Cricetulus griseus: one gene and its partners. The protein of the gene in region 1 purifies or fractionates together with the protein of each later gene. This does not show direct contact. Links are inferred from orthologs where the notes say so. Each region holds a gene or a part of one and is shown in the gene's direction. Other genes may lie near its edges. The genes, in order: Hsf1, Fbxw7, hsp70-binding protein 1 and Ncl.

Region 1 (7,092 bases):
ATTGTTGGACAGTCAGAGCAATTAAATTTGTGACCGCAGTGAGATTGTCAGGCTGCTTTTGCTTGCAGTATTTTGGTGGGTTCATTGAGCAAGAGCAGAGTCCAGTCAGTCCCAAGGGGCTCTTTTCAGCTTCCTTTTCCTATCTGGGCAGGCTGGCCTGGAGCTCTGCTCCCATATTGTCAGTGCTCCCTGGGGCTTGAGCTTTCCAACACTGTTTGACCTAAAGGGAGCTAGAGCACTTTCCTTATGGATTGTATCTCCTGTGGGCAAACCCTCGGGGCAAGTGACTGGGCAATAGCTACTGGACTTCTCAGATGAATACTCTCAACATGAATGTTCAGGTTCTCTCCGCCCCTGGGATTAGTCTCCACCTGGGAGCATTGTGGATGAGGTGGGGACCATTCCAAGTAGGAATGAGGTATCATCAACCTACAGTTGGAGAGAATACACATCTTTCCAGTATCCTTAAACTTTGACAGAATTGAGAAGAGGGGTCCCCACAACTTAGCCACACTTTCAAGGGTGCAGCATCTCATATGGGGACTTAGTGACAGGGAGAGACTAGTTCATGCCATGGGTGCTCACTGACCCATTGGGTTTTAGTGGTTTCATTGGTCATTCTTGTTTGTTTGATGCCTGGGAACAATTTCAGAGACATTAAATGATCTAAACAAGCTTTGTGTGTGTCACTGGAGAGGAAGCACTTCCCAGAACTCCACACTCCTGGCCCAGAAGTGGGGCTTTCCTTTCCTCTTCAAGGATAGGAGTCCTCACCCTGCAACTGATCCATGGCCATCCACCATCTATGCCGATGTGTCTGTCTGACTTGGCTGCTTGCAAGGCCCTCTCTTGGATTATGAAGTGACCATATATGAATCCCTTTTAGTTTTCCCTGTTTGAAATTCATTTAGTGTTTTGGATGTTACATCAAATTTGGTATGTTCCTGATCATTTTTCATAAGTATAGTCATTTGTCCATTCTCATCTTCTGAGCCTCCCATTAAGCGTTGTAGGCCTCTAAAACTCTGTTCACTTTTATTCACTCTCTCTAGTCACTGTTGCTATGAAGACACCATGACCATGACAGCTCTTTTTTTTTATTTTATTTTTTAATGTGCACTGGTGTCTGGCCCACATGTTTATCTGTGTGAGGTCCTCTGGAACTGAAGTTACAGACAGTTTTGAGCTGCCGTGTCGTTGCTGGGAATTGAACCCCGGTCCTCTGGAGAACAGCCAGTGCTCTTAACTGCTCAGCCATCTCTCCTGCCCATACCATGGCTCTTATAAGAGAAAACATTTAATTGGGGGCTTACTTACGAGAGGAAACATGGTGGCATTTATGGTACTGGGGTAATTGAAAGCTGCATCCTGACCCACAGGCAGCGAGAGCGACTAGACTGGGCCTGGCATGAACTTTTGAGACTTCCAAGCCCACTCCCAGTGGCACATTTTCCCCAAGGGCCACAACTCCTAACCCTTCTATTCCTTTCAAATAGTGCCACTCCCTAGTGACTAAGCACTCAAATATGTGAGCCTGTGGGGCCCATTCTTTTGGTTTTGGTTTTGTTTCTCAAGACAGGGTTTCTCTGTGTAAAAGCTCTGGCTATCCTGGCACTTACTCTGTAGACCAGACTGGCCTCGAACTCAGAGATTCACGTGCCTCTGCTGGGATCGCAGGCATGCATCACCACTGCCCCAGCGCTCATTCTTACTCAAACTACCACACTGTCTTCAAACTGTAACCTCAGTTGGCCTATTTTTGTGCTTATTGACATGCGTTTCTCCCTGTTCTCATCTTCCTTGAGTCCCCAGGTGAATTGCTTGTTTGTTTGAGACAGGGTTTCTCTATGTAGCCCTGGCTATTTTGGAACTCACTATGTAGAACAGACTGGTCTGGAGCTCACAGAGATCCACCTGCCTCTGCCCCCTGAATGCTGGCATTAAAGGCATGCGCCAGCACTGCCTGGCTGTTGATTCCTATCTTTAACACATAGCCTGGGAGTTAACAACCCAGCTTTATATCCTATTTCCCATTCCTGCCGGAGGGTGAGCTCATGACCCTCCTAGGTCTCCCCTGAACATGCAACAGCTGTAATGTGTGCATAGCCTTTGGATTCCCAGGAATATTTCAGAGTCCCTAGTGATCCCTCATTCACCACCTTTTAAGGTTTCTGGCTAGCCTGTGTTATACATTGTCTCAGCAGCCATTTCAAATCTTCCTCTACATGTTTCTAAAGAGCCTCTGGACTGTGTCAGCTTCAGATCAAGCAAAGCCAGCCTTGCTTGGAGAGACCTCTAGCACCAGGACCTTGAGCTGTCTCTCACCCATGTTCCCACTGCCATTGCTCCCACTGGTTTCAAAGCTGAGGGGAAGAGTGGGACTGGATGTGTGATGTAAAGAGCCCACTGCTTTCCCTGATACCATACTCCCCCCGCCTCCCCAGTGCTTTTCCTGCTGCTTTGCATTCTCTTCCTCCTGTTTCCACCTGCCCTACTATTTCTGTTTAGACCTGTTTCATTCCTCTGCATTTTGGAAAGCAGCCCCAGTGCTAATCCACTGGGCTCCTTTTCATTTTTTCTACCTGCCTGTATTATAGATCCCCCACCCCAGCGAAGAGACCTGTTCCTTAGCTGATTTGTCTTGTGCATCCATGACGCTACTGTCCCTCCCCACTGTGGGGCCTCCCCACTCCGGGATCTAATGCCTCTGAGTTGCCATGGCACTTCTGCCCCTCCTTGTGGTTCTGGACTGTGTTCAGGAGAGCACACGCCCAGAAGTGCAGCCATGTAGCATTCAACAATCTTGAGTTCTAAAAAGAAGCCAGGCAGTGGTGGCGTGCTCCTTTAATCCCAGAATTTGGGAGGCAGAGGCAGATCTCTGTAAGTTCTGGACCAGCCTGGTCTACAAAAGTGAATTCCAGGACAGTCTCGAAACAACCCCCCACCCCCCAAAAAAAAGAGTGGTATTTCTGAGCAGGACTGTCTTCCAGCAGCAGAAATCCCATTCCTGTTTCTTTAGTTGCCACAATTTGGCTTCATAGAGCTGTGTGATATGTCTGTGTGTCTCTGCATATATGTGTGTACCACATGCATTCAAACCTACAGAGAACAAAAATGGATTATCAGGTCACCTGAAACTTGGAATTCCTGGCAGCTGTGAGCTGCCATGTGGGTGGTGGAAAACAAACTCAGGTCCTCTACAAGAACCATAAGAACTTTTAATCACTGAACTATCTCCATTTTATCTATTCTTTTGTTTTTGGAGACAGGATTTCACTGTGTATCCTGGCTGTCCTAGAACTCACTTTATAGACCAGGCTGGCCTGGAACTCACAGAGAGCTGTTTGCCCCTGCTTCCAAGTGCTGGGATTAAAGGCATGTACCACCACACCCAGCTGATCTTTGTTATTTTTAAGGAAAAATTTGCTGATTAAAGCTAAATGATTAAAGCTAAATGTCCCTAGAGACAACCAGAATGCTGTAGGTGATCTATGAGTCTAAAGTTAGCAACTGAAAACTGCCAGGAAGTAGGATCCTGTCTCTGACTCCATGGCCTGGATGGCAGCCATAGAGTGCTAAGATTGAACTCCCTCCTGCTTCTCTCTGGAGAGAGATGGAGAGGCGCTTCAGGCCATGGTGGAAATATGGCAGCAGCTGCTATATATCGAATGCCCATGTGTCTCCTGACAGAGTGGGAACAGCTTCCACGTGTTTGACCAGGGCCAGTTTGCCAAGGAAGTGCTCCCCAAGTACTTCAAGCACAACAACATGGCCAGCTTCGTGCGGCAGCTCAACATGTGTAAGTACCTCTTGTGGAATGGTAGCCTCCTTCCCAAGGGTGTGGAGAAACAGACCCCAACATATTGCTGAGAGAATAAAGCCTGGGTTGGCTAAGGAAGGATCCTTGTGGGTGTAAGCCTGAATTCCCCAAGGAAGAAAGAGTGTATGAGACCCTACCCTAGTAGCTATACTTCCATTTGCAAGAGAGGAAGCTGAGCAATGACAAGGTCTTTTCAAACCATGATTAACTAGCTATGGTAAATGGACACCAGCCAGAATTTCCTACAGTTTTTTAGAAGGCCCCTTGCCTGCCCTAGGCTATGACTAGGCTGTTGGGGGTCTGGTTCCTGGTCCTCAAGCAGAACTGCCCCACCCCCATATGCACAGATGGCTTCCGAAAAGTAGTCCACATTGAGCACGGTGGCCTGGTCAAGCCTGAGCGGGATGACACCGAGTTCCAGCATCCATGTTTCCTGCGTGGCCAGGAACAGCTCCTTGAGAACATCAAGAGGAAAGTGACCAGCGTGAGTCACAAGCCCTGAGTACAGCCCCTCCCTGTCCTCATATCTCCCTGCAGGCTATGGGCTGGGAGTAGTAGCTAGGTGGTGCTGCAAGACTAGCCTGAAAGCATAGCCTGTACTTTTACTCATCTTTCTCTAACCCCTCCTCCTCCCCCTCCCAGTGTTTCCCAGACTCTCCCCACTCCTTAGATTTCCAGGTGAAGCACAAGAGCCAACCACACTCCAGAGCCACTTCAGACTCTTGTATGCCCCAACCCTTAGGTGTCCACCTTGAAGAGTGAGGACATAAAAATACGCCAGGACAGTGTCACCAGGCTGTTGACGGATGTGCAGCTGATGAAGGGGAAACAGGAGTGTATGGATTCCAAGCTCCTGGCCATGAAACAGTAGGTCCCAAGGCTCAGGAGGGTGGCCAGGTTGCTTTGGGTCTTTATTGTGCAGAGCCATTCAGGATTCCCTCCCCCTTCCCAACCTGCCTTCCATTGTTTCTGTGGCAAAAACTGTGGCCTATTCATCTCCATAGAATAGAGTTGGAACTTCCTACTGTACCCACTTCTCACTGCCCTGCTGGGCTCCACATTTTCAGGATTTGAGCATACAGACCCTCCTTGCATGTGCCTCCCTTAAAACCAGGCTGGCAGGAGCTGACCAGAACAGTCCTGGGGCCAGATCTCCCCACTGTTCTCTATTCCCAGTGGCCCCTACTCCTCCTTTATCACTCAGTACAGGGCATCACAGTCCTCAGCTGCCCTTTACCCCCAACCTGAGGGTACTCAGCAGTTTAGTATCTTTCCCAATGCCCTGCTCTGTATGTCTAGCCAGTTTGTGACAAGTCCTGTGGCCCCCCTTTCAGCTAGGATCCTGAAGTGTACCATCAGGCTCTATCCATGGCCTCCTTCCCCGGCTGACACTTGAATCCTCCCCTGGAAGTATAGCAGAACTAGCAGAGCTGGGTGGTGCTAGTGAGCCCTCATCTGGTCTAGCTCTGCCTCACTAGTCAACAACCTGACTCTGGCTCTTCAAATGTGGTCCAATTGACCCAACATTGTGTTGCAGTGAGAACGAGGCCCTGTGGCGGGAGGTGGCCAGCCTGCGGCAGAAGCATGCCCAGCAGCAAAAAGTTGTCAACAAGGTGGGCAGGGCTGGTGGTAGGTGGGTCCCCTCCACGACTGGGCCAGGGTGACTGTATCCTCTCTGCCCCACAGCTCATTCAGTTCCTGATCTCACTGGTGCAGTCGAACCGGATCCTGGGGGTGAAGAGAAAGATGTGAGGCTCTGGGGATGCCTGCACTGTCCACTCTGGCCCTGCGCCTTGGTGTCCTCTGCTTGCTGTATATCCTGGGCACCACCAAGGTCTGTGTAGGCAGTTAACCTGTCTCTTCATTGCAGCCCTCTGATGTTGAGTGACAGCAGCTCAGCGCACTCTGTGCCCAAGTATGGTCGACAGTACTCCCTGGAGCATGTCCATGGTCCTGGCCCATACTCAGTAAGCATCAAGCTCCATGGGACTTCCAGTAAGTGTATCATGGGTGCTGGGTGGCCCAAGCTACCACAGGTATGCCTTGCATGTGGCCTTTGTCTCTAATTGCAGGCTCCATCTCCAGCCTACAGCAGCTCTAGCCTTTACACCTCTGATGCTGTCACCAGCTCTGGACCCATAATCTCTGATATCACTGAGCTGACTCCTACCACCCCTTTGGCATCCCCAGGCAGGAGCATAGATGAGAGGTGGGGCTTCATCACCCTTATACCCCCTATCACCCTAGTGGGCCAGTCTTCATGGGCCCTGGGCAGAGTTGGAAGTGGGTGGAGCTAACTTAGGCTTCTTCTAACATGTTCAGGCCCCTGTCCAGCAGTACCCTGATCCGTGTCAAGGAAGAGCCCCCCAGCCCACCTCGGAGCCCTCGGGTACTGGAGGCAAGCCCTGGCCGTCCATCCTCCATGGATACACCTTTATCTCCAACTGCCTTCATTGACTCCATCCTTCGAGAGAGCGAGCCTAACCCTGCTGCCTCAAACACAGCCCCTGTGGACACAACCGGAGTCCATGCCCCTGCTCCACCCCCTTCTACCCCTGAGAAGTGCCTCAGCGTAGCCTGCCTAGACAAGTGAGTGATGTACCCACCCTGCCTTCCTGTAGCCTCTGAACCCCACAGCACGAGATTTCTTCAGGCTGGACACAGGGTATCTGTGTCTTATAGTAAGGCACAATCTCTACAGTTTGCTGGGAGTGATGGGTTAGATCTGTTCCCCAAAACCTGAGAGTGAGCTTGAAGCTGGGGAGGGAGACCAACCACATCACTAGAAATGGAATATACCCCTGCCTCCTGGGCCACCATCACTACTGGCGTCACCTTCTCTTGTGGCAAGCCCCCATGATCTTTGGATCTGTCATTCTCCCTAGACCTGACACAGGAAATGATGAGCCAGGGCCCAACTTTGACCACCCCTCGGGCACATCCCAGAGGCTAAGTGAGCGAGGAGGGTGGGCACGGATCCCCTCATCCCCCACCTGCAATGGGGGGGGCTCTTGTCTTTGTATCTTGCAGTTTGGCTCGCGCTCCACAGATGTCTGGGGTCGCCCGCCTCTTCCCCTGCCCCTCCTCTTCCTTTCTGCATGGCCGAGTCCAGCCAGGGTTAGCGCTGCCCCCACTTGGGAGGGAGGAGGACTCCACCAGGGCCCCTCCTGCAGCCCTGGACCATTTCCCAACCCGGGCATAGCACTTGCCCTGCCTGGCGAAGAGCACCAGGAGATGGTCTCGTGGGCTCTGCATCTCTACTGACTCCCCTT
Region 2 (7,092 bases), on another chromosome or scaffold:
GTTAGTCAGTAGAAATGCCTGATCTAGCTCTTCTCTTGTTGGTCTGCAGTATAACTTGATGCCCATCTTCTGTGGAAAGAAAGCTGGCTGTCTTTTAAAATAAGTTCAAATTGTAACTAGCAATGTTCTTGTATTTCTAGTTTCTTTACTCTGATAATTGATAATTTTATTGGAATCAGAGATGAGTTGATCCAGACATGTTGGCTCAGACTTGTACTCAAGAAGTACTCCATACCTGTACTTATGAAGCTGAGGCAGGAGGATAGCTGTGAGTTTAAGGCCAACCTGGGCAACATTACTGAATTCTAGGCCAACCTGCAATATAGTGTGAGACCTTGTCTCAAGAAAGTCTTCCCTAAAATATATGAGTTGGGAGGAAGTGAATTTGTTAGATCATTCTGCATGACATTGTTAATTTTTAGAAATAGTAGTTTTGCTTTTTGTGACTTTCTCTGTTTTTTTTTTATATATAATTTGAAGCAGAAGTCTCATTTTCTGTCTTAGAATATTGTTTCAGATGTATAAATGGTAGAAATCCTCAATTCATATGCTTTTATAACAAAAAATTAGCCAATTTTGGGAGACATTATTTTATATGACAGCATGTACTAGCATACTTTTTAGGTTGAAAAAAAAAAAAAAACAAAACTGTTGTTTGTTATTCCTCAGTTTCTAGGTGTTTTATTTTTCTTTTTTTGTAGTGCTAAAAGTTGAGCCCAGAGCCCTGTCCTCTTCCACCTCTTTTTCTTCTGTTTTAATCTTGAGTTGAGGTTTGTGAGGCTGGCCTGGAGCTCACTTGGTAGCCCAGGATGTGCTGTATATTTTATATAAATTTCTTCTTTCTAAAAACAGATTACAGATTACTGTTCTGACACACAGTTCATTTTTTGCTTTCTCTCTCTCTCTCTCTCTCTCTCTCTCTCTCTCTCTCTCTCTCTCTCTCTCTCTCTCTCTCTCTCTGTGTGTGTGTGTGTCTGTGTGTGTCTGTGTGTGTCTGTGTGTGTCTGTGTGTGTCTGTGTCTCCTTGCATGTACCTATGCGCACACACACAGGCCAGAGGAGGCTGGTAGCTTTCCTGTTCTCATTCTCTGTATGACTTACTTGAGACAGAGTATCTTACAGATCCTAGAGCTAGGCTGGCAGCCATAAGCTCCAACAGTTCTCCTGTGTCCATACTAACAGTGTCGGGGTTACAGGCCTGTGTGTAGCTCTGCCCAGTTTTTATGTGAGTTTTGGGGATTTGGCCCCAGGTCCTGTATGTCTGAGCCATCTCTGTAGCACTTCACTGTATTTTAAAGAATGTGTTGTAATAACATACATGTGATGTGTACATTTTTCTTATAGGTGCTGAAAGGGCATGATGATCATGTGATCACATGCCTACAGTTTTGTGGTAACCGCATAGTTAGTGGTTCTGATGACAACACTTTAAAAGTTTGGTCAGCAGTCACGGGCAAAGTAAGTTCACTTCTTTCCATACTTCTATGAGTCACCATTTTGTGTGTGCAGTCACAGTAAAGTGGGGTGTTGGATCCTCAGCTGTTTTGATAACAAATATTTGATAACAAATAACAAAATGTCTTTAGAAATGTGGTCCTTCTTCCTGTGGTTATGTCACTTTGGCATGGTGGCAGTGGTGTTTTCTTCATTTAAATAGTTTGTTGTCTTTTTCCTTAGATATTCTAAGATTTCTCAGATGCCCCTCTTCTCTGAGCTTCCGTCTCACCTTTCCCATCATGGCTCCCTAACGTCTTCCAAAATATGACTGAGTGATTTGTAATTTTCCTTGTAGACTGCTTTGTTGCTGAGCTATCTATAATTTAGAAATCAAGTAAATCCTGTTAATCTAAAGTTGTCTCAGACTTGAATGGTAAGGAAATGAAGCAGGGGAGGTTTTAAATACTGGGTTGAAGAGCCAAGCAGTAGCTTTATTTCACATAGCATTCCTTAATGAGTCGCTAGTGAATATTGACTTTATCTGTCCAAAGGAGAATTTTTTTTATGAATTAAGTAATCAATCATTTAAAAGGTAAAAGAAGACAGTATGTTTTAAAAAAAAATGTCTTTCGCTGTGTTGTTCCTTGGACAAGACTCTTATAAATACCCAAAGCAGATGTTAAAATTTTCAGAGCAGCTACACGTTTCCAGGATATAATACTAGTTTTGGACTTATCTCAGAGTCTCAGTGTCTGTCTTTACATGTCTAGAGTAGCATGGCCAGCCCCTAACTACTGCCTTAAGGCAGACGGATGCACTGTGGTATGTGGCCACACCCAACTCTCTTGGCATTCTTGCCTTGGTTCTCCTCCATGGGAGGCACCCTTTTGCAGTTTTAATATTATTTAATCATAGTGGTCAGGCTAGAGCTGTTGAACTTGCTTGTATTACATTATGTTTGCTTTCTGCCATGTCTTATGCTTTGTATCAAATGATTCTTCTTAAATTTCTTTACTTCATTTTATTATTTTGTGTTTGTGTGTGTGTACCACATACATGCCAGGTGCCCTCAGAGACCAGAAGAGGGCATCAGATTCCCTGGCATTGGAGTTATAGGTGGTTGTAAGGCACTAGGTGCTGGGACTCAAACCCCAGGTCCCTGAAAGAGCAGCTGGCGCTCTTAGCCACTGAACCATCATCTCTCCAGTCCTGTCTGTTTCATATCATGTTTGCTATGCATGCATAAGCATATACTGCTACAAAATAAACAATTCGGTAATAATGGTGTCATGTAGCATCGATGTGTAGATGCTTTCCTGGTGATCTAATAAAGTTGAATATGTAAGACTTTATTCCAGATTCTAATGAGATGTTAGTATATTTTTTGACTTGCTTTCATTTCTACCTAAAATTAATCATCTGAAGTGTTTTTTCAGTGTCTAAGAACATTAGTGGGACACACAGGTGGAGTATGGTCATCACAGATGAGAGACAATATCATCATTAGTGGATCCACTGACCGGACTCTCAAAGTATGGAATGCTGAGACTGGAGAGTGTATACATACTTTATATGGGCACACTTCCACTGTACGCTGTATGCATCTCCATGAAAAAAGGTAAAGGAAATCCCATTATGATGGGGACTTTCACGTCTGTTACTTGTGAATTTGAGATTCAAATAGTGCTAATGAGCTCCAAAAGTTGATACTAATGATTACAGTGCAATATTCCTTAGTTAGTAAAATCAGGTTATATTGGCTTAAAATTGGAGGATTGTCTTAAAATTTTCTTTTTCATTCAATGACTGTACAATCATTTTTCTTGACGCTCAGCTCTCTAATCCCCTTTGTTGTTCGTTTGGTGACTCATCATCTTCAAAAAAATCATTTTCTTTCTTGACAGTCATATGTAGGAGCAACAAATTCAGTCACTTCGACATTAGCCTGAATCCTTGAGTGACCCACCCACTTTGCCCCCACTCCATCATGTCCCTAGATCTGAACAAACACTGAGGTCCAGGGCTTTCACTTATTTTCTCATTACCTGTCATCTGAACTATGCAGAGATCTCAGGTCCTGACTTTTGCACAGCTGGCAGAGAGCTCTGGTATTAGGATTGTTTCAGCCACGTCTGGCCTGCTAGTCCATTCTTTCCTGGTGCCTCTGCCTGGTGCTTTGTATCTTACCTGCAGTGTCTTCTGCTACAATCATGTCCTTCTGTTGACACATCTTCATTGCACCTAGCTAAAAAATTGTGTTTTCTACTTCATTTGTCAAAAAATATTCTTTTGGCCTGATATGAGAACATGCTGCTAATCTTTGCACTGGAAAGATAGAGACAGGAGAATCCTTGAAGTCACAGCTTTTTAGAGGAGACCCTTCCTCTAAAAGAATGTATCTTAGAAGAATCATTATAACGAGTTCACAGCAGAGCAGCCATGACCTGTAACTCTGTCCATGCTGCTTTATCTATTAAGAACTGTTTTGGTAAGTAGGCTGTACCCTGCAGGTGTGATATATATACAGGGACTCCTTTTTACTTTCAATTTGAACCACTTTGCACAGTGTGTTGTGTGATTAAAATTTAAGGGATGAGTTTCAAGAGACCTTGCATTTCCATGTTGGTTGCATTCATTTTCCCACACTTAATCATTCCACTCTTCCAAATACAGAGACTGACTTTTATCTCTTGGGAATGTGACATAAAGGTACCTGGTTAGCAATCCAGAGGTAACTGCATGGTTGTATCACTCCTCTTTTTAGAACAGTATAATTTTATAACATTGAGCCAATTTCTGTTACTTCTATAGGAATATCTTTAAAAATCTGTATCAGCACATATCTGAAACCGCATTCCCTGCATGGGAAGTATAAGAAAACAGCCCTAGTTTTCTGAGACCCAAATTAAATGTAAAATTTTTTTTTTGAAAAATAATCATATTGAAAAGTTTACTTTCTCAAATAGGTAATAGGAGTTCATAATTGAAATGTAATGGAAGGACAAAGATATTAAAAACAGTTCTGGATTGTTCTAAGTTTAATACCACCTAATTCTGCATTGAGGGTTGAGCTGCGTGTACCATGCTACCATTTCACTTCTAATCAAGATAAATTGTATGTATGGAGAGCTGCTTGCTTCTTGAATAGGGTGAGGTTGTTTCCTTAAGTCATGGACTTCTAGTCTTCCTCACTTCCCATTCCAGGCAGAGTAACTTGAATTTATATCTGAAGGCATTAGGGTAGTGATTCTTGTTAAAGTGTTTCTGTTCTGTTTATGAAGAGAAAGCGAACACTGTTTTGCAGGCTATGTGCATTTGTGCTCTTCAGAATTCTAATACCTTGTTTTCTGTTTCCTCTCTGCAGAGTTGTTAGCGGTTCTCGAGATGCCACTCTTAGGGTTTGGGATATTGAGACTGGCCAGTGTTTACATGTCTTGATGGGTCATGTAGCAGCGGTCCGCTGTGTACAATATGATGGCAGGAGGGTTGTTAGTGGAGCATATGATTTTATGGTGAAGGTGTGGGACCCAGAGACTGAGACCTGTCTACACACGTTGCAGGGACACACTAATAGAGTCTATTCATTACAGGTAAGAAGCTGTCTCACCCATCCACACCCCTAGATGCTCTGGTGATGACTCATAAGATTTTTCTTTTCAGCTAGTTACCGTCAAGTTGCTGTTTATATATACCTTAAAATTACCATGAAGAAAACAATAAATTTCAAAATCATTTAGCTGATTTAATGGCTTCGATTTCTATGATCCATTTTCTCTTTAAAATGCAAATATTTGTCTTAAAACCTGATACTTCAGGGCTGTAAATTTTGCCACATTAATTAATAGATAATCTCATAGGAGAATAACTTGGATCTTAATAAACTCCTTAGCTGAGGATTAATTTGGCCAAAAGCTGCCCCTTTGCCTTGATAACTAAAAGTTGATGGGCCGTGTAATTGTGATTCTATCCCCATTTAAAGTAGCCGTGGAGACTCTCTGCAGAAAGCTACATAGTTGCCCAGGGCCATTGACTGGGGCCATAAAAAGGTGAATCTGACTAACCTGTTATATTTCCTTATATTTGAACATGATGTTTATTAATAGATTATAATATTTCAAAAGCTTCAGTAACTAGACATAAAGCGTGGGTTGAAATTATTTCTGGAAATGCAGCATTTTCCATTTTTAAAAACTTCCTGTTACATAATTCCCTTCCCAGTTACTTGCCTGTTAGTGATCAGCCAAGTAGAACAGAATCCCAGTGCTGACCTTGCTGTTCTTGGGGCATTTGATTCTTAACTGATGGTAATGAAATATTGATATATGATAAAGATGTTGATTACTTTAAAAAAGATGATGGCTTCCAAGGGGAGGAGATTGGCTGCCACTGCTTTTGCTACTTGTGTGCTTAGAACCTTAGAGAAGACCTCAGAATATATAGTCAGGTATTAGATATACCTCCTGGGGATTGGTAGATGTTTATTGGCTTTCAGTGTCCTTGGGAAGCTGAAAAGAGGGGCTACATTGCTTTTATTACTAAAATGCCTCCTATTCTAATTCCTGATAACAGCTCTCTTTTACTAATTTTCTAATTAGCAATAAGTTGTTGTAAATAACTTCATTCTACAAACAGTTTTTAATGGAATTTACTTTTGAGCATCACAAAAGTTATCTGTGGCCCTTCCCATGCCTTGGGTGCTGATAGGCATGGCTTTTTTAAAACTCAAGCTCTGACTTTGGCTTCCTATGGCAAGTCAGACTCATCTTTCTCGATGAATACATGCAATATAGCTTCCAGCTGGGACCAGGTGATCTGAAAGGAATGCTGTCCTTTCAGGTTCTTCCTTTTCTTTTTGAAATTGTTTCTTCCTCTTTTTGAACTATTGGGCAGTTTTGTTCAGTTTCCTTTTTTTTGTTGTTGTTGTTTTGGTTTTCTTTTTAATTTTAAGATAATTTATGAAAATATTTTGGAGACATGATCCGTAGGCTGGCATAATGGCATGTACATCTGCTTACCTTTGAGTTTATCCCAATGCACTCTTTGTTCTGGCCTTACATGTTGCTGTAGCCCCCTCCCCATTGTGAGGAAGGTCTACCAGCTGATAGAAAGGAATCCATGTTTCTGTTCTAATACACTGTGTCTGTTGTAGTTTGATGGCATCCATGTGGTGAGTGGATCTCTAGATACATCAATCCGAGTCTGGGATGTGGAGACAGGGAATTGTATTCACACATTAACAGGACACCAGTCCTTAACAAGTGGAATGGAACTCAAAGACAATATTCTTGTCTCTGGGAATGCAGATTCTACAGTTAAAATCTGGGATATCAAAACAGGACAGTGTTTACAAACATTGCAAGGTAAGTATTAATCCTCCTTCAGCCATGTTCTTTCAAAATGTCATTGCTATTCAAGAGAGAACCTGTGTAGGGCAAAGATTTAACCTCATGCAGAGTACTTACTCCTGATGACTTTATGAATGTTTGGCTTTCAAAACTAGGCCACCTTGAAAAATGGTTTTCAATTGTGTCTTTAATGTGAAAATTCTTACTCATTTCCTGCATGTTCAGTCGACTCTATTTAACCTTAACAATGAGAAGAAAGACTTGGCTGTCTCACAGAACCAATACTTTTTTTTTTTTTTTTTTGACTGAT
Region 3 (7,340 bases), on another chromosome or scaffold:
TGGCCTCCACATGCATGCACACATATGTGCCATGTACACAAACAAAAAGACCAAAATAAGTAATGGATGAATGACTGACTGACTGAATGAATGAATGAATGAATGAATGAGCAAATAGGTAAAATGGGAACCGGAGAGCACCTGTACCTGGAAAGTGTTTGTGAAGAGTTAAAAGTAACAATGCGTAGGAAGTGTGTGTTCCTACAACAGAATGCTGCTCTATTGTAAGACGAAATGAAGACTCAGAATTTATAACACGGATGGACCGTAAACATTTGGTTGAGTGAGTTCATCCATGTGAGGTACCCGGGCAGCAGATCCACAGCGGGAGACGGTAGACCCGTGTTGGCAGAGGCCAGAGGAGGGAACTGGGAGCGGGCACCAGCGTGATGTCCGTGTTCTGGGGTGAGGTGGTGGTGATGGCTGCTTAGTGCCATATGGAAACCCCCGAGTTCCATGCGGGGTGAACTTTATGGCTGTGGTGGTGAACTCTGTATGATGGCCGTGGCGGTGTGGCTCTGACGGTGCCTCGCGATGGTAGTGATGGCGGTGGCGATGGTACTGAAGGCTGAAGTGATGGTGGGGTGGTTGTGGTGGTGGTGCGGGTGGCAGCTTCACGGTGGTTATGTTAGGAATGTGATGGCAACGGTGATAGGGTGTTGTTGATGGTGGCTGTGGTGCTGATGGCGGCTGTGGTGCTGATGGTGGTGAGGAATGGTGGTGCTGATGGTGGCAATGGCAATGATAATAGTTGTTAACAAGTCTTTGTCCTGCCAGCCAGCTCCCAAATAAAGGCGCAGAGACTTAGTATTAGTTATGGAAGCTCAGCCTTAGCTTTGGCTTCTCCCAGTAGCTCTTGTAGCTTAAATTAACCCGTTTACATTAACCTGTGTTTTGCCTTGTGGCCTCTTACCTTACCTCCGTCCTGCCCGGCCTGCTTCGTCCATGTGTCTTGCTTCTCCTGCATGCCTAGATTGCTTTCTCTTCCTTTCTGTCCTCAGAAATCCCACCCATGCCTCCTGCCTAGCGATTGGTCATTTAGCTCTGTTAAGCCAATCAGGAGCCTTGGCAAAGACACACCTTCACAGTGTACAAAAAGATGATTCCACAACACACAGACACGGGTGGGTGCTGTTGGAAGCTGTGATGGTCATGATGCCAGTGGTGTTGGTGGCTGTGGTGATAGTGATGGTGGCAGCCATGGTGACTGGGACCTCAGAGCTCTGCCCCTCCCTCAGGTCTCGTCCGAGAGCAAGAGGCTGGGCTGCTGCAGTTCCTCCGCCTGGATGGCTTCTCTGTGCTCATGCGGGCTATGCAGCAGCACGTGCAGAAACTCAAGGTCAAGTCGGCATTCCTGCTGCAGAACCTGCTGGTGGGCCACCCGGAGCACAAAGGTGAGGTGGCCCGAGAGGGACTTGTGGGGGGTGTGTTACGGGAGCCTTCCTCCTGACTCCCACAGCTCTCCCCCCAGGAACCCTTTGCTCTATGGGGATGGTCCAGCAGCTGGTGGCCCTTGTGAGGACAGACCACAGCCCTTTCCACGAGCATGTGCTTGGAGCCCTGTGCAGGTACACTGGGGCCCCAGGAGGAGGGGGCCTTGGATGGCGTCCTCAACAGCAAGAGCCGCACAGGCACTAGCCCGCTCTTGCCCTGGAGCACTAGATGAAGAGTGCAGGCCAGCGAATAGCAGAGATCACAATGCTTGGGGGCGGGAACCCCTTCTTATGGTTCCCACAGGGTAAACAAATTGGGGTTCTGGGCTTTGTCAACCAGCAGGCCTTGGACCACATGTGCCCAGGGTCTCTATGAATGCTTCCTAAAATAACTCAACCATACCATTCTCCAGCATGAGCTTTATAGATGACAACGCTATGTCACAGCGCCCAAAGGTTAGCCACACCCGCAGCATGATGGAGCCAGACAGACATCATGGCAGGCCCCGTCTAAACTTTATATTCCCCGCAGCAATGTACAGCAGCTGCAGTTTTACAGATGGGAGCCAAGACCCACTGTAGGGCCGTGGTGTACCTTGGCTCCTGCAGGATCAGTGTGGAGGGGGGCTTGGAGCTGGGCTGGGGTCTTCGTTGCTGATGGGGTCCTAAGGTCTGCTCTCATGTCCTCCTGTAGCCTAGTGACGGACTTTCCCCAGGGTGTGCGAGAATGCCGGGAGCCTGAGCTGGGCCTGGAGGAGCTGCTCCGTCACCGCTGCCAGCTGCTGCAGCAGCACGAGGAGTACCAGGTAGAAGGGCGGGGGTGGGGTCCGTGCCTGCCCTGGGGCCAGTGGGCTCCGTCTGTCCCTGCCTTCTCTCTCCGTTGTGTCTTCTCCCATTAGCAAACACTGTGGGCCGCATGCTACCTCAGTCAGGAATGAGAACTATTTTATAAACTGGTTAAAAATGATAAACTGATTAGCTATTATGTACCACAAAAATGATAAACACCCTTAAATATCAAGTTTGTTTTTTTTTTTTTTTGGTTTTTTGAGACAGGGTTTCTCTGTGTAGCTTTGGAGCCTATCCTGGCACTCGCTCTGGTCACCAGGCTGGCCTCGAACTCACAGAGATCCGCCTGCCTCTGCCTCCCGAGTGCTGGGATTAAAGTTGTGCGCCACCAACACCCAGCTAAATAGGTGAATAAATTAAGTAGATAAGAATGGATAACTCAGCGTTGTTAGCGCACGCCTTTAATCCCAGCACTCGGGAGGCAGAGGCAGGCGGATCTCTGTGAGTTCAATGGCAGCCTGGTCTACAAAGAAAAAGCTCCAGGACAGCCAGGGCTACATAGAGAAACCCTGTCTCCAAAAAATGAAAAAAAAAAAGAAATTTTTTTAACTTACATGTCTGTGTTTGTATGTTTGTGGGGTACCTTTGAAAGCCAGTGGAAGGCATTGGAAGCCCTGGAGCTGGAATTACAGATGGTTGTGAGCTGCCTGGTGTGAGTGCTGGGAACTTGAGTTGAGGACCCGAGCAAGAGCAACACGTGCCCTTAAGCCCTGAGCCATCCCCCAGCCTATGAGTGTGTTCATGTGGAGGACACAGGACAACTTTCTGACATGTGGGCCCCAGGGATCAAAGTCAGGGTGTCGGCACTTTTACCCCCTCGGGGCCACCCCGCCAGCCTTGATTCTTCATTTTGTGAATTCCCTGTGGCTCCGGTGCTGCCACTTTTAACAAAGCTAGGCCCGGCAAAAGTGCAGCAGTGGTGTCCATCCTGCTGCACCCCTGCCTCTCTGGACACCCCGATGTTGACAGAGGGATATTGTAAGTAGGAGAGGCAGGAGCCGCATGGAGCACGGGGAGCTGCAGCCCAGGCTGGCCTGGTGTCAGGTGGAGCACGTGGAGGGGAGGAGGCCCCTGCATGTTGCACTTGCATTTATCTCCCAGGGGACCCTGAGCTGAAGAATCCCAGGGCCCCTCAGAGGTGCCCACCACCCACCGGCGCACAGACCAACAGGCAGATCTCCGTGGGTGGAGGCCAGCCTGGCGTTCAGAGATCCTTCCAGGCCCGGTGCTGGGGTGAAAGGCGTCCACCCTTGTGCCCAGCAGGGAAGGTTTATTTTGACTCCTGGTGTTAGGTTTTCTCTTCTATTATTGCTCTATTGTGTGGAGTGTGGGTAGCTTCATGGCCTCATTGATTCAACGGCCTCTTTTTATTTAGTTTTTAGGTAGGTTCTCACAGTGTTAGCTCAAAGTAGTCTCAAACTTGAAACCCTGAGGTAGCTGCCTCTTAAAGGAGGTGTGGCTTGTCCTCAGTTTTTCACTACTACAAACACTGCTATAAGAACAGGTTTTAAGGCAGGGAACATGGCTCATTTGGCAAAGTGCTTGCCACAAGGAGCTGAGCTCAAATCCCAGGTACACACGTGGAGGGAATCCCAGCACTCAGGAGCCAAAGAGAGAAGATTCCCTGGGGCTTGTGTGTAGCCAGTTAGGTAGAATCAGTGAACTCCAGGTTCAGTGAGAAACTGTCTCAAAAAATATGGATGGTGGTGCACACCTTGAACCCTCGCACTGGGGAGGAAGGCAGAAGCAGGCTGATCTCTGTGAGTCTGAGGCCAACTGGATGTACTTAGTGAGTTCCAGGCCAGCCCAGGGCTACATTGTGAGACCGTCCTTCAACAGGAAATGAGAAACAGATGGAGAGTGGGTGAGGGCGATCCTGGTTCACCTCTGAATGTCCACACCCACGTGCACGCTCACACATGCATTCATACCTGCACACACGTGCACACACGCAAACAAGGTGGGTGGCTTCTGGGGACTTCCGGTTTTCACACATGCGTGCACGTGAATGTACACATACTGACATAACATATCCCCATAAAAATACAGCTTAAAATGTTTACATTTGATGGGTGATGGAGGCGCACGCCTTTAATCCCAGCACTCGGGAGGGAGAGACAAGTGGCTCTCTGTGAGTTTGAGGCCAGCCTGGTCTACAGGGTGAATTCCAGGACAGGCTCCAGAGCTACGTAAAAACCCTGTCTCGAGAACCAAAACCCAAACCAAAAATGTTTACATTCATCTATATCATCATCGTCATCATCATCTTTTGGTTTTCTGAGACAGGGTTAGGCTATTCCGGAACTCACTTTTGTAGACCAGGCTGGTCTCGAACTCACAGAGATCCACCTGCCTCTGCCTCCCAAGTGCTGGGATAATTAAAGGCGTGCACCACCACTGCCCAGCAACAATCTATTTTTATTTTATTTTGTGTACATTGGTGTTTTAACTACTATATGTATATTTGTTTGAGAATGCCAGATCCCCTGGAACTGTAATTACAGACAGTTGTGAGCTGCCGTGTGGGTGCTGGGAACTGAACTCAGGATCCCTGGAAGAGCAGCTAGTGCTCTTAACCTCTGAGTCCCTCATCTATTTATTATGTGTGTGTGTGTGGGGGGGGCATGCGTGTGCTGTGGTGCACAGGTAGAGGTCACAGGACAATTTGTGGGAGCCGGTTCTTAATTTCCACAACATGGGTTGTGGGGATTAAACTCAGATCCTCAGGCTTAGTGCTCAGCACCTTTACCTGGGGTGGATATATGAGAGTCACGGGGCTGATTCCAGGACAGACCAGTTTGGGAGGCCTCAGGCTGTCTCTGGGAAGAAAGCTCAGGGACCTATGAGCAGGGGGGGGCAAGTGAGCCTGATCTGAGCAGTGGTCACTCGGAAAGCCCAGTGGCTACTGGAGTGGGCTGGTGGTAGCCAGTAGAGAGGGTTGTTGTGGCCGCTGAATGAATGTCCCAGAGGCAGGTCTGCCTCTGTGCTCAGGATCTCTCTCTTCTCCTTGTCCAGGAGGAGCTGGAGTTCTGTGAAAAGCTGTTACAGACATGTTTCTCCAGCCCTACCGACGACAGCATGGATCGGTGAGACCAGGTGGCTTCTTGCATTCTCTCCGTGGGAACCCCAGGCCTCCTGCCTCCCTCCTTCCCAGGCATCCTCTCCCAAGGGATTGCCAGGCCTTGTTCAGGCCTGGGCCTGGGCCTGCCAGCCCATCTCTGGGCAGCCCCCTGGAGGGGGTGCCGAGAAAGGTGCTGGCCCTTTGGATTCCCCTGCCTTGCTTTCTGTCACCCTTTCTGGTCATGTCCACACTGCTCTTCCAATAAAAGCATTTCTCCTGTTGCCCTTCCCATGTGTTGTCTTGCTTTTCCTGGAAGGTTCTTATGGAAGGTGGGAGGGAGGGGCAGAGCCTAGAGGACTGGGGGTGGGGGTGGGGTGGTCACTAAAGGGATTATACAAGCGTTGCTCGGAACTGTTGTCTCCTTTTATCTTGCTGCCTTTGTTGTGTTGGGACCATCCCATTCTTTTTTCAGTATAGAATCAAACAAACAAAACACGTTTGCTTATTTGATAAGGGTGGAGGTCAGCGAGCACGTGGGGAGTGGATTCTCCAGTCCCACCACGTGGGTTTGGCAATCAGCTCTAAATTGTCAGGTCCTGAGGCTTGCACAATAAGCACCTTTACCCATGGAACCAGCTCACCCTCCATCCGAAAAGGAAGTTTTATGTGAAAGTTAGTCTTCACCGTCCAGTTGGCTGGATTTAGAATCTCCATGGAAACACATGCAGCGTGCCTATGAGGCTGTTTCCAGAAAGGTTTACTTGGGAGGAGACCCAGTCTGAATATGGGTAACACTGCCTTACGGAGGGTCCCAGACTGACAAGGAGACTCGGGGAGCACGACTAGTGTTAACAATTCCCTTCCGTGAAGCTGACTGACGGTCTCTTACAGAACGACGAGGATCAAGCGAACGCCACCAGCAACAAATAAATTAGATCACACAGAGCAGAAGACAGGAAAAAAAAAAAAATTAGTGACTGGTGTTAATCCGCGAAAGAGGTCCATTTAAAGCCATCTGAGAATTAAAGAGGCGGGAAAGGAAAAAACAAAAAAACAACTAGACGAGAGAAGGCACACAAACGTGACTCCATAGAACTTCCCGGAAATACAAGCTGCCACCAATCTGCCGCTCCTCTCCAGGAAGGAAAAGCTAAGCTTTCTTCCATAGTCCTTACAGCCGACCTCTAAAGCGGGGGTGGGGAGGGTGGGGGCGCTGCAGTTGGGGTAAACTGAGGCTCAGAGCTGGGATCCCCGCGCTGGGGGGGGGGGCTCCTCCTCCCGGCTGTTACAGAGAGAGAGAACTGTGCTCGGGTGGAGGCGCGGGGCGGGAGAGCCCGACACGCAGCTCCGGGCGAGCGGGCTGCGCACACGCGCTCGTTGCAAACCGAGCTCTGCCTGCAGCAGCAGCAGCAGCAGCAGCAGCGCCCGAGTTCCGGAGCGGGCGGAGCCTGGGCGCCGGGCCGCCGCGCCGAGTTCCGGGGTGGGCGGGGCCTGGGCGCGGGGGGAGGGCCCAGCGCGCACGCGCCTCGCCGGGCCCGCCCCCCCGCGGCGCCGGCCTGTGTGCGGCGCACCTGCGCACGGAGCGCCGCCGCGAGGGGGCGGAGCCTGCCTGGCTGGGTCCTCCCGCGCTCGGGGCATTGTGGGACAGCGGCGGAGCTAGCTGTGCGTTGGAGGCCCGGAGCTGGACGGGCCGGGCCGGGCCGGGCCGGGGAGCCGCAGGCGCTTCGGGGGACGCTGAGGTGGACGAGACGGCCGTCGGCTCCCGGGGTCGCGCCGCGGAGCCTGGGATTTGTCCTTTTCGTCCCTGCTCCCGGTGCCGGCGCGCCCCGCGCCCCTGTGTAACCGCGGCGCCTTCCCCCGCCGTCGCCCCTGCGCCCGCGGCGCCCGCGCCAGGCCTCGTCGGCGCCTCGGCCCCGGAGCCCGGCGGTGGAACGAACGAGCGCGCCTCCCCCCCCGGTGGCCGCGGAGCCCCGAGCTCGTCGACGATCGGGCGGTGA
Region 4 (7,808 bases), about 64 Mb from region 1:
TGAAATCCAGGTGTAGGAGGAACACACCTGTAATGCCAACGGTTAGAAGGCAGAGGCAGAAACACAATTTCCAGGCTAACCTGGGCTACATAACAAGACTATCTCAAAAAGAAAAAAAACCAAAACAACATACTGAGATGTGATATGCTATCAAAGCTGGAACTAAAAGAGATGTGCACAGTAAACAAATAGCAGGGCCTTTAATGTGGGGAAAGGAACCTAGAAATCTCATGATTGTTTTTGCCTTTTGGTCTTGATTTCAGTCCTCTCTCCTTGGGACAAGAAGATGACTCAGTGGATAAAGTGCTTGCTGTAAAAACATGAGGACTCAAGTTCAGATCCCCAATATCCCTGTAAAAAGCATGGGCTGGCAGCACATAACTGTAACCCTCGTGCTAAGTGGTGGTGGGTGGAGGGAGCAGAGACGGGGATCCCTGGCATCTGCTAGCTTGGGGAGGTAGCTGCTAAGTGCTAGCCTGGCATGCACAAAGCCAAGGTCAATCCTCAGAGCCACATAAAACCAAGGGAGGTAGCACACACTCATAATACCAGCATTTGGGAAGCAGATGAAAGAGATCAATAGTTCAAGGACAGCCTGAGATACATGAGACCCCACCTTAAGAAAATCAGATAGTGAGCAACAGCATTCAGGCATCTACCTCACCCCTGTCCTGTCTCCTTACTAGTTCGAGGACTGCACAAATTGACTCTTTGTCCTCATGTTTGTGAGCAGTGATGCTTTTAGCCTATTTTGGATACATTTATGAATTTAAGATTTCCAAAGAGCTGGAATAGAGTCTGGTACCTGGAAAGCTTCACATGTGTATTAGGTATTGTTGACCAGATTGACTACACAGTAACACGGCTCGACACCAAGCTGTCCCTTTTGCTGCTGCTTCACTTAAACTGTGTTCTTTTTTGAGACAGGGTTTCTTTCTGTAGCTTTGGAGCCTATCCTGGCACTCGCTCTGGAGACCAGGCTGGCCTTGAACTCAAAGAGAATCACTTGCCTCTGCCTCCCGAGTGCTGGGACTAAAGGAATAGACCACCACCACCTGGCTAACTACTTGTGTTCTTAAATCACATTTCACATACAACATTCTGCCTCTACGTATGCCTTGCACGTCAGAAGAGGACACCAGATCTCATTATAGATAGTTGTGAGCCATCATGTGGTTGCTGGGAATTGAACTCAGGACCTCTGCAAGAGCAGCCAGTGCTCTTAATTTCTGAGCCATCTCTCCAGCCCCTAGCAAGTACCTTTTAACACTATTATGTGCCAGGCAATACTGTAGGCACCAGGAATACAGCAGACAACAGTTTGTGTTCTCCTGGCTGGCTGGGGAAAGGGCAAATTAACAATAAACAGCCAAGAAAAATACTAGGTAGGTGATACGACCCAAGAGCATAAGTGAGGGTCCAAGAGTGAGTCTCCTAGTGGCACTTTACACCAGAGGTCTGAGGAAGGCCCCATACAGGTAGATCGGATCGAAAAAGAGAAGTCATGCCAGTGTTGCTGAGATCCATCTGTGTCATCTCACAGCTCACCTGTCTCCTCCCAAGTGCCTTTAGCCTCCTCTGCTTGGAAATACCCAGGGTCTTGGCTCACACCAATCATTTTTCCTGTCCCTCTACCCAGGAGTCTCTCTTGGGGTCCATCTCAAGGTGTGACCCTTGTCACTGTCTCTATAAAGACAAAGCCTCCACATCACTGCACTGGTTCCCACCTCATGCCCTGACCATAGAGCATTTTCGTGGAGCTGTGTCCTCCACCGCGTTGCGAAGGACTTAGTAACAAGCATCACGCATTAACTATTTCTACTTGTCTCCAAAGACCCGTGTTCAGATAGAAAACGTGGGACCCAACACATCCTGTTTGCACTAAAATCTTCCGAGATGGGCCAAGGCGTGGTGGCGCACGCATTAATCTCTACACGCGTGAGGCAGGCAGGTCGAGGCTAGCCTGGTCTACACAGTGAGCTCCAGGACAGCAAGAGCAAATAGTTAGGCCCTGTCTCAACATCCCCGACAAAATCTCCACAGGTGATCTATCAACCAATATCATCAGTTGGCGGAACCCTGACTATGCAGAAAATTAGGTTTTAGATGCCCAGGAGGTACCCTAGAAGGGCTCCAGTATGCCACGCCTGGAACCCAAAGTCCCACACACAGGTCTAATCCACTCACGGCAACTCTGTCCTTCAGGCCATTGAGGGAAACCGTGAGTGGCCACAGGCCGGCAAAAAACTCCTCCAGCACACACCAGGAAGTCACCTCTCCGAGACCGTCCCCATCAGGAGTTAAATCTACCGCGCGAGGTTGGACATTAAGCGAGCTGTTTGAGCACTGCACACAGGCGCGCACACACGCACGCAACTGCCTTTATTGGGAGCTGTCTCTCAGGAGAACAGCGGCCCGCGGCGCAACACTAGAGCCCCGGGATGTTCTCGGCTCTGCCGAGGGCAGGCCGAGGGCCGCGAGCTGGCCCCAGTGGGCTCTAGGCCCTCAACTTCCGGCGCTCTCCGGCTCCTCAGCGGGAACGCGCGGCGAGCACTTGAGGCCGCCGCGGAGTCCACGGTGGGGCGCAGCTTCCGCAGCGCGGGGGATGCTCGGGCCACCCACCACCCCCCACCCCCCCGGCCACGCGAGCCCGGAGCTCCAGGTAGCAGTCGAGCACTAGGAGGCGTCCGGGCCACGCCGCCATCCCCGAGCCCCTTCCACAAGCCGCGCCAAACGGGCGCGTTGCACCGCGCAGGCGCGGCGAAGGCGAGCCGCTAGGGCTCGCCGAGAAGACGCGCACACCAGCCAGTCAACGTCCGCCTTGCGTAGAGCTAGGCCCGCCCCCAGGGCGCTGCCGTCAGGCCCCGCCCCCGGCGGACCCGCCCCCACGCCGTAGCCCCGCCCCCACGCCGTCCTGGGTTGAAGGCTCGCGGTTGGCCAGGGGGACGGACGCGCGCTCTGGTTGGTGGAGGAGGGGTCACGAGGACGCCGTCGTCGCCTTTCCAGAGGCGATTACTGGGCAGGCTCAGTCTTTTGCCTCAGACGCTAGCTGTAGCTGGCAGTCGCTCGTACGTGCTCCAGAGTCCACCGTGCCCGTCGCTGCCGCCCAGCTCGCGTGGGTTCCCCGAGGCTCTCCCGAGCTGCGCCCTTCGCCGCACGCGCCGTCGTCGCAACCCGCCACCATGGTGAAACTCGCAAAGGTGAGAGGCCTCGCGCGCGCCGACGCGGACGGACGCCTGGGCCTGCTTTCTGAGGGGCGCGCGCGCGCGCGTCGCTCAGGGGAGGAGGGCCTGCGCGCAATCCCGGGCGCGTTCGAGGGCGCCATGCTGGGGAAAGTCTCGCGCGACTAGCGGGAGGTCTCGCGGTGTTTGGCCCCTGACTTGGTGGTGGGGGAGAGCCGAGGCGGGTCCCGGGAGGTGTGTGTGTGTGTGAGCGCGCGCGCGCGCGTGTGTGTGTGTGTGTGTAGGGCGGTGAGATCGGAGCCGCCGCGAGGGGAGAAGGGGCGACAGGCCCGCCGAGGGGAGATGGGACCCAACTCGTGGGCCGGCGCCGGCGTGGCCCCGCCTCCTGGCGCACGTGCTCCGGTGCGCGGCCCGCCACGTGGGTTTTGGCGCTCTGCGTGTGTTGCCCGTCTCGGGCTCGGGGAGTCGCGGGGTACCGGGGAGGGGGACAGCGGGACTGAGCTAGGTGGGTTCCCCGGCGATCCCCAGCGCCTGTCCGTGACGGGCAGGCCAGCACGTGGTGGACACCTGAGGGAGCGCGTGGTGGCCTGCGTGGTACCTCCACGTGGCCCGCCTCCAGAGTGGCGACGTCGGAAGTGGTTCTGTGAAAGACGTGCTCCTCTCCAGAAGGGGCTACCCAAATAGATACCCCTGCCCCGGCAGATGATTTAGAGTGAAATTCAAAGGGCAATGAATGACTAGTAGATTGTCTTCAGTTGTCTCTGGAAGGGAAAGACAAGTTATATAGGTGATTCTCAGGAAAGATTGCCACATATAATAATGCCAATGATGTCACCTGTGCTTAGGGCCTTTAACAATATAGACAGTGGGCATTAAGAAAGAAGATAATGGCGAAACGCAAAATGGCTTACAAATAGGGTATCGACATGATTTTGTGTGCACTTGTGTAGGCCGGCAAAACCCACGGCGATTCTAAGAAAATGGCTCCTCCTCCAAAAGAGGTGGAAGAAGATAGTGAAGACGAAGAAATGTCCGAAGATGAAGAAGATGACAGCAGTGGAGAAGAGGTATACAGCTAATAGGGCAGCGGTGCCCTCCCTTTAATTCCAGCAAGAGGGACGTAGAAGGCAGGCAGTTTTAGTGAGTTCAAAGCCAGCCTGGTCTACAGAGGGAGTTCGGGGACAGCCAAGGCTACACAAGAAACCCTGTCTCAAAAACCAAAAAGAAAAAAAAAGATGTAGAAATAGAATGTGTGTTAATAAAAGTATTCTAAAGCCGGGCGGTTGTGGTGCACGCCTTTGATTCCAGCATTCAGGAGGCAGAGGCAGGCGGATCTTTGTGAGTTCAAAGCCGCACATGGTCTACTTAATGAGTTCCAGGACAGCCTCCAAAGCTACAGAGAAACCCTGTCTCCAAAAACCAAAAAAAAAAATACAGTAGTATGATAACAATAGTTGAGTGACAAGTTCTTTATTGCTATTGAGTAGTTAAATAAGAGTATTACAGTCCACTTGAGAGGGATGTAAATTTCACTCAGGTTTCACATGCTGTATTGAATATTGATTGTAGGCTGTTATTTTTCCCTACATTTTTGGAAAACAGGGTTTAATCCAGTTTGATTTGTTTTCATTCAGATCATGGTCACGTGATTTCATGGTGTTTGGTGAGAAGGACATTACGACTAGAAATTCCCGGGTGTTTTTTTTTGTTTGTTTGTTTGTTTTTTGAATCAGGATCTCAACATGACCCTTGTGGTCTTAGAACTCAACATGTAGACCAGTCTGGCCAAAAATTCTCCTGAATAAAGGCATTAGTCATTGCATGAAGCTAGTTAAGAAACTTAGGGCTTTGATTTAGATGAGAATTGGAGTCAGGGTCTCAATAGTTCAGGAATCACTATATTTATTTTACTCCTATTCCCGTCATGCATGTTTTGTTTTTTAGTGCTGATCCCTATCACTAAAGTAAGCTTTAGCCTATTATATAAGCTTTTATAGAGCAAGTCAGTTTTTAAAATACATCAGATATGGATTGAAGGCTGCTACTTACCAGTTTGCTGAATCTGGTACTTATTAGCACTCCTACTTGTTGGTTCATTTAAAGACATGGTTAATTAATTTCAGGAGGCAGAAGTAGGGATAGTCTTGGAAATCAGGTAAGCTGGGGGTATGTAATCATTATGCTCAGATTTCTTGTTTAGAAGAGCTATATTAGTAATAAGCAAAATTTGGGTTTTGGTGGAACATTTTTCAATGAAAATAAAATGCATACTTGTTATAACTCTGCTTAAGGCTGATGTGTAGGGGTGGAGTTGGAGACCAGTTTCATTTATGAGTGTTTCTTAAACTTGGGTATTTGTGTGATAAGCACCTGCAGTTGTAAGCCATGTATTCTGATTCCAGGGTTTAGGATTTAGTGTGTTGGAGTTAGGGTTAGAGTGTTTATCTGTATTTGTATGAGTGTACTACTAAGCATGCCTGGTGCACTTAGGCTAGAAGAAAACTCTTAGGTTCCCTGGAACTATAGTTAGAGCCATCATGTGGATGCTGAGAACTGACCGTTGGTCCTCTGCTAGAGTAACAAGGGCTCTTAACTGCTGAACCGTCTCTCTAGCCCTTTCACCCCAGGGTTTAACATATACCTAATTCCAGTGTTGAGCTCAAAGTTAGTATCAGTATGTTAATAACATTGGATATACGGAAAGTGCTTATTATTTGTTTTACTTTTAAGGTTGTCATCCCTCAGAAAAAAGGAAAGAAGGCTACAGCAACTCCAGCAAAGAAGGTGGTTGTTTCACAAACAAAAAAAGTTGCAGTTCCCACACCAGCTAAGAAAGCTGCTGTTACTCCAGGTAAAAAGGCAGCAGCCACACCAGCCAAGAAGGCAGTTACACCAGCCAAAGCAGTTGCAACACCTGGAAAGAAGGGAGCCACACAAGCAAAAGCATTGGTAGCAACCCCTGGTAAAAAGGGAGCTGTCACTCCAGCCAAGGGGGCTAAGAATGGTAAGAATGCTAAGAAGGAAGACAGTGATGAAGATGACGATGACGACGATGATGAAGACGACAGTGATGAGGATGAAGAGGATGAGGAAGAGGATGAATTTGAGCCACCAGTAGTGAAAGGAAAACAAGCAAAGGTAGCTGCTGCTGCTCCTGCCTCAGAGGATGAAGACGAGGAAGAGGATGAAGAGGAGGAGGAGGAGGATGAAGAGGAGGAGGATGGTAGGTGGATTTCTGTTTGCAGGATGATTAGGAGATCTTGCCAACAATAATGCATGTAGTTTTCCTGACCACTTCGTGCTTAGATTAGAAAGTCACATTTTGTGCTCATAGTTCTTTCCATAACTTAGCATGCTGTCAGAATTTTATTTCTCTAAGACTTTTTTAGTGTGTATAAGATTCATGTTATCTGGATTGGCAGCAAATGCCCTTGCTTACTAAGCCAGCTCTCTTTCAGACTCTGAAGAAGAAGAAGCTATGGAGATCACACCTGCCAAAGGAAAGAAAGCTCCTGCAAAAGTTGTTCCTGTGAAAGCCAAGAATGTGGCTGAGGAGGATGATGATGATGAAGAGGAGGATGAAGATGAGGAGGAGGATGAAGAAGAGGAAGAAGATGAGGAGGAGGAGGAAGAGGAAGAAGAGGAAGGTAAGCAGATTACATTGAGGTACACTGACCTCAGTAATGTTTAATGGAAGTGCTTACCTACTCATGACACTAAAAATCTTATCCAGAGCCTGTTAAACCAGCACCTGGAAAACGGAAGAAGGAAATGACCAAACAGAAAGAAGTTCCTGAAGCAAAGAAACAGAAAGTGGAAGGTAAGCCTGTAAGATTGGGGACTGTGAGAGGAGATAAAGGTAGCAATAGCACAAGTGATGAATGACAAAGGGACTTAATACTGAAACCTGGTGTTGAGATTCAGTGTGCTGATGTGCTTTATAGAAGTTTTATGCTGATGTTTATGTATGGTGAGGTTTTAAATGAACTAAAGTTAATTTTCTGTGCAGGTTCAGAATCAACTACACCTTTCAATCTGTTCATTGGAAACCTTAACCCAAACAAGTCTGTTGCTGAATTAAAAGTTGCCATCAGTGAACTTTTTGCTAAAAATGATCTTGCTGTTGTGGATGTCAGAACTGGTACAAATAGGTAAGTTTTTCATTGAACATTAAATTGAGTTAGCTGGTGCTTCTAAATTCTCCATGCTCTTAAACACAGAGGTATATAATTACTTTAATGAAGACTAGACATTAAAGAACTAAGTCATCAAGTCATGGAACTTGCAAATTTGAAATTTCAATATTTGACTTTTGTGTTATGTCAAATAACAGCAATAATTGGCATTTTTGGATAGGTGGTGGCAGGGCACGATTCAGTCCCAGCACTTAGGCAGAGGCAGGTGAATCTGCATTGGAGGCAAGACTTGGATCTGAATAGTTATAGTGAATGCTTTTGGCCAAAAGGACTCTTAGTATTTAGCTAGGTTCCTCTTTCAGCTAGTACTATCAGTTAACAGTGTAAATTAAATCTGTGTAGATTTGCTATCCTGTCTAGGTACATAGGCTTGATTCTATGGGAGATGAATATGGCCTAGATCGCTCTCATGCCTATAATCTTGTCCTTT

What was found.
Region 2: the proteins of Hsf1 (region 1) and Fbxw7 purify together in Homo sapiens (affinity purification with western blotting; 4 studies listed by BioGRID, with this or other methods). This does not show direct contact. The link is inferred for Cricetulus griseus from reciprocal best matches to the Homo sapiens genes HSF1 and FBXW7.
Region 3: the proteins of Hsf1 (region 1) and hsp70-binding protein 1 purify together in Homo sapiens (affinity purification with mass spectrometry; 5 studies listed by BioGRID and IntAct, counting the BioPlex papers as one, with this or other methods). This does not show direct contact. The link is inferred for Cricetulus griseus from reciprocal best matches to the Homo sapiens genes HSF1 and HSPBP1.
Region 4: the proteins of Hsf1 (region 1) and Ncl purify together in Homo sapiens (affinity purification with mass spectrometry; 3 studies listed by BioGRID, with this or other methods). This does not show direct contact. The link is inferred for Cricetulus griseus from reciprocal best matches to the Homo sapiens genes HSF1 and NCL.

Annotation. Positions count from the first base shown.
Region 1 is NC_048595.1:373,785,527-373,792,618, forward strand, and holds part of Hsf1 (heat shock factor protein 1), read left to right. Parts: intron 1-3,690; coding exon 3,691-3,799; intron 3,800-4,167; coding exon 4,168-4,304; intron 4,305-4,562; coding exon 4,563-4,687; intron 4,688-5,357; coding exon 5,358-5,433; intron 5,434-5,506; coding exon 5,507-5,568; intron 5,569-5,690; coding exon 5,691-5,787; intron 5,788-5,892; coding exon 5,893-6,029; intron 6,030-6,142; coding exon 6,143-6,409; intron 6,410-6,850; coding exon 6,851-6,937; intron 6,938-7,092. UniProt on the Homo sapiens protein: Functions as a stress-inducible and DNA-binding transcription factor that plays a central role in the transcriptional activation of the heat shock response (HSR), leading to the expression of a large class of molecular chaperones, heat shock proteins (HSPs), that protect cells from cellular insult damage.
Region 2 is NW_023276806.1:69,437,836-69,444,927, reverse strand, and holds part of Fbxw7 (F-box/WD repeat-containing protein 7), read left to right. Parts: intron 1-1,344; coding exon 1,345-1,458; intron 1,459-2,873; coding exon 2,874-3,055; intron 3,056-4,801; coding exon 4,802-5,027; intron 5,028-6,586; coding exon 6,587-6,797; intron 6,798-7,092. UniProt on the Homo sapiens protein: Substrate recognition component of a SCF (SKP1-CUL1-F-box protein) E3 ubiquitin-protein ligase complex which mediates the ubiquitination and subsequent proteasomal degradation of target proteins.
Region 3 is NC_048602.1:23,310,986-23,318,325, reverse strand, and holds the end of hsp70-binding protein 1, read left to right. Parts: intron 1-1,238; coding exon 1,239-1,394; intron 1,395-1,471; coding exon 1,472-1,568; intron 1,569-2,127; coding exon 2,128-2,239; intron 2,240-5,297; coding exon 5,298-5,372; downstream 5,373-7,340. UniProt on the Homo sapiens protein: Inhibits HSPA1A chaperone activity by changing the conformation of the ATP-binding domain of HSPA1A and interfering with ATP binding. Interferes with ubiquitination mediated by STUB1 and inhibits chaperone-assisted degradation of immature CFTR.
Region 4 is NC_048595.1:438,025,422-438,033,229, reverse strand, and holds the start of Ncl (nucleolin), read left to right. Parts: upstream 1-3,020; 5' UTR 3,021-3,182; coding exon 3,183-3,200; intron 3,201-4,132; coding exon 4,133-4,249; intron 4,250-5,912; coding exon 5,913-6,405; intron 6,406-6,640; coding exon 6,641-6,829; intron 6,830-6,915; coding exon 6,916-7,002; intron 7,003-7,049; exon of another isoform or gene 7,050-7,119; intron 7,120-7,191; coding exon 7,192-7,333; intron 7,334-7,808. UniProt on the Homo sapiens protein: Nucleolin is the major nucleolar protein of growing eukaryotic cells. It is found associated with intranucleolar chromatin and pre-ribosomal particles. It induces chromatin decondensation by binding to histone H1.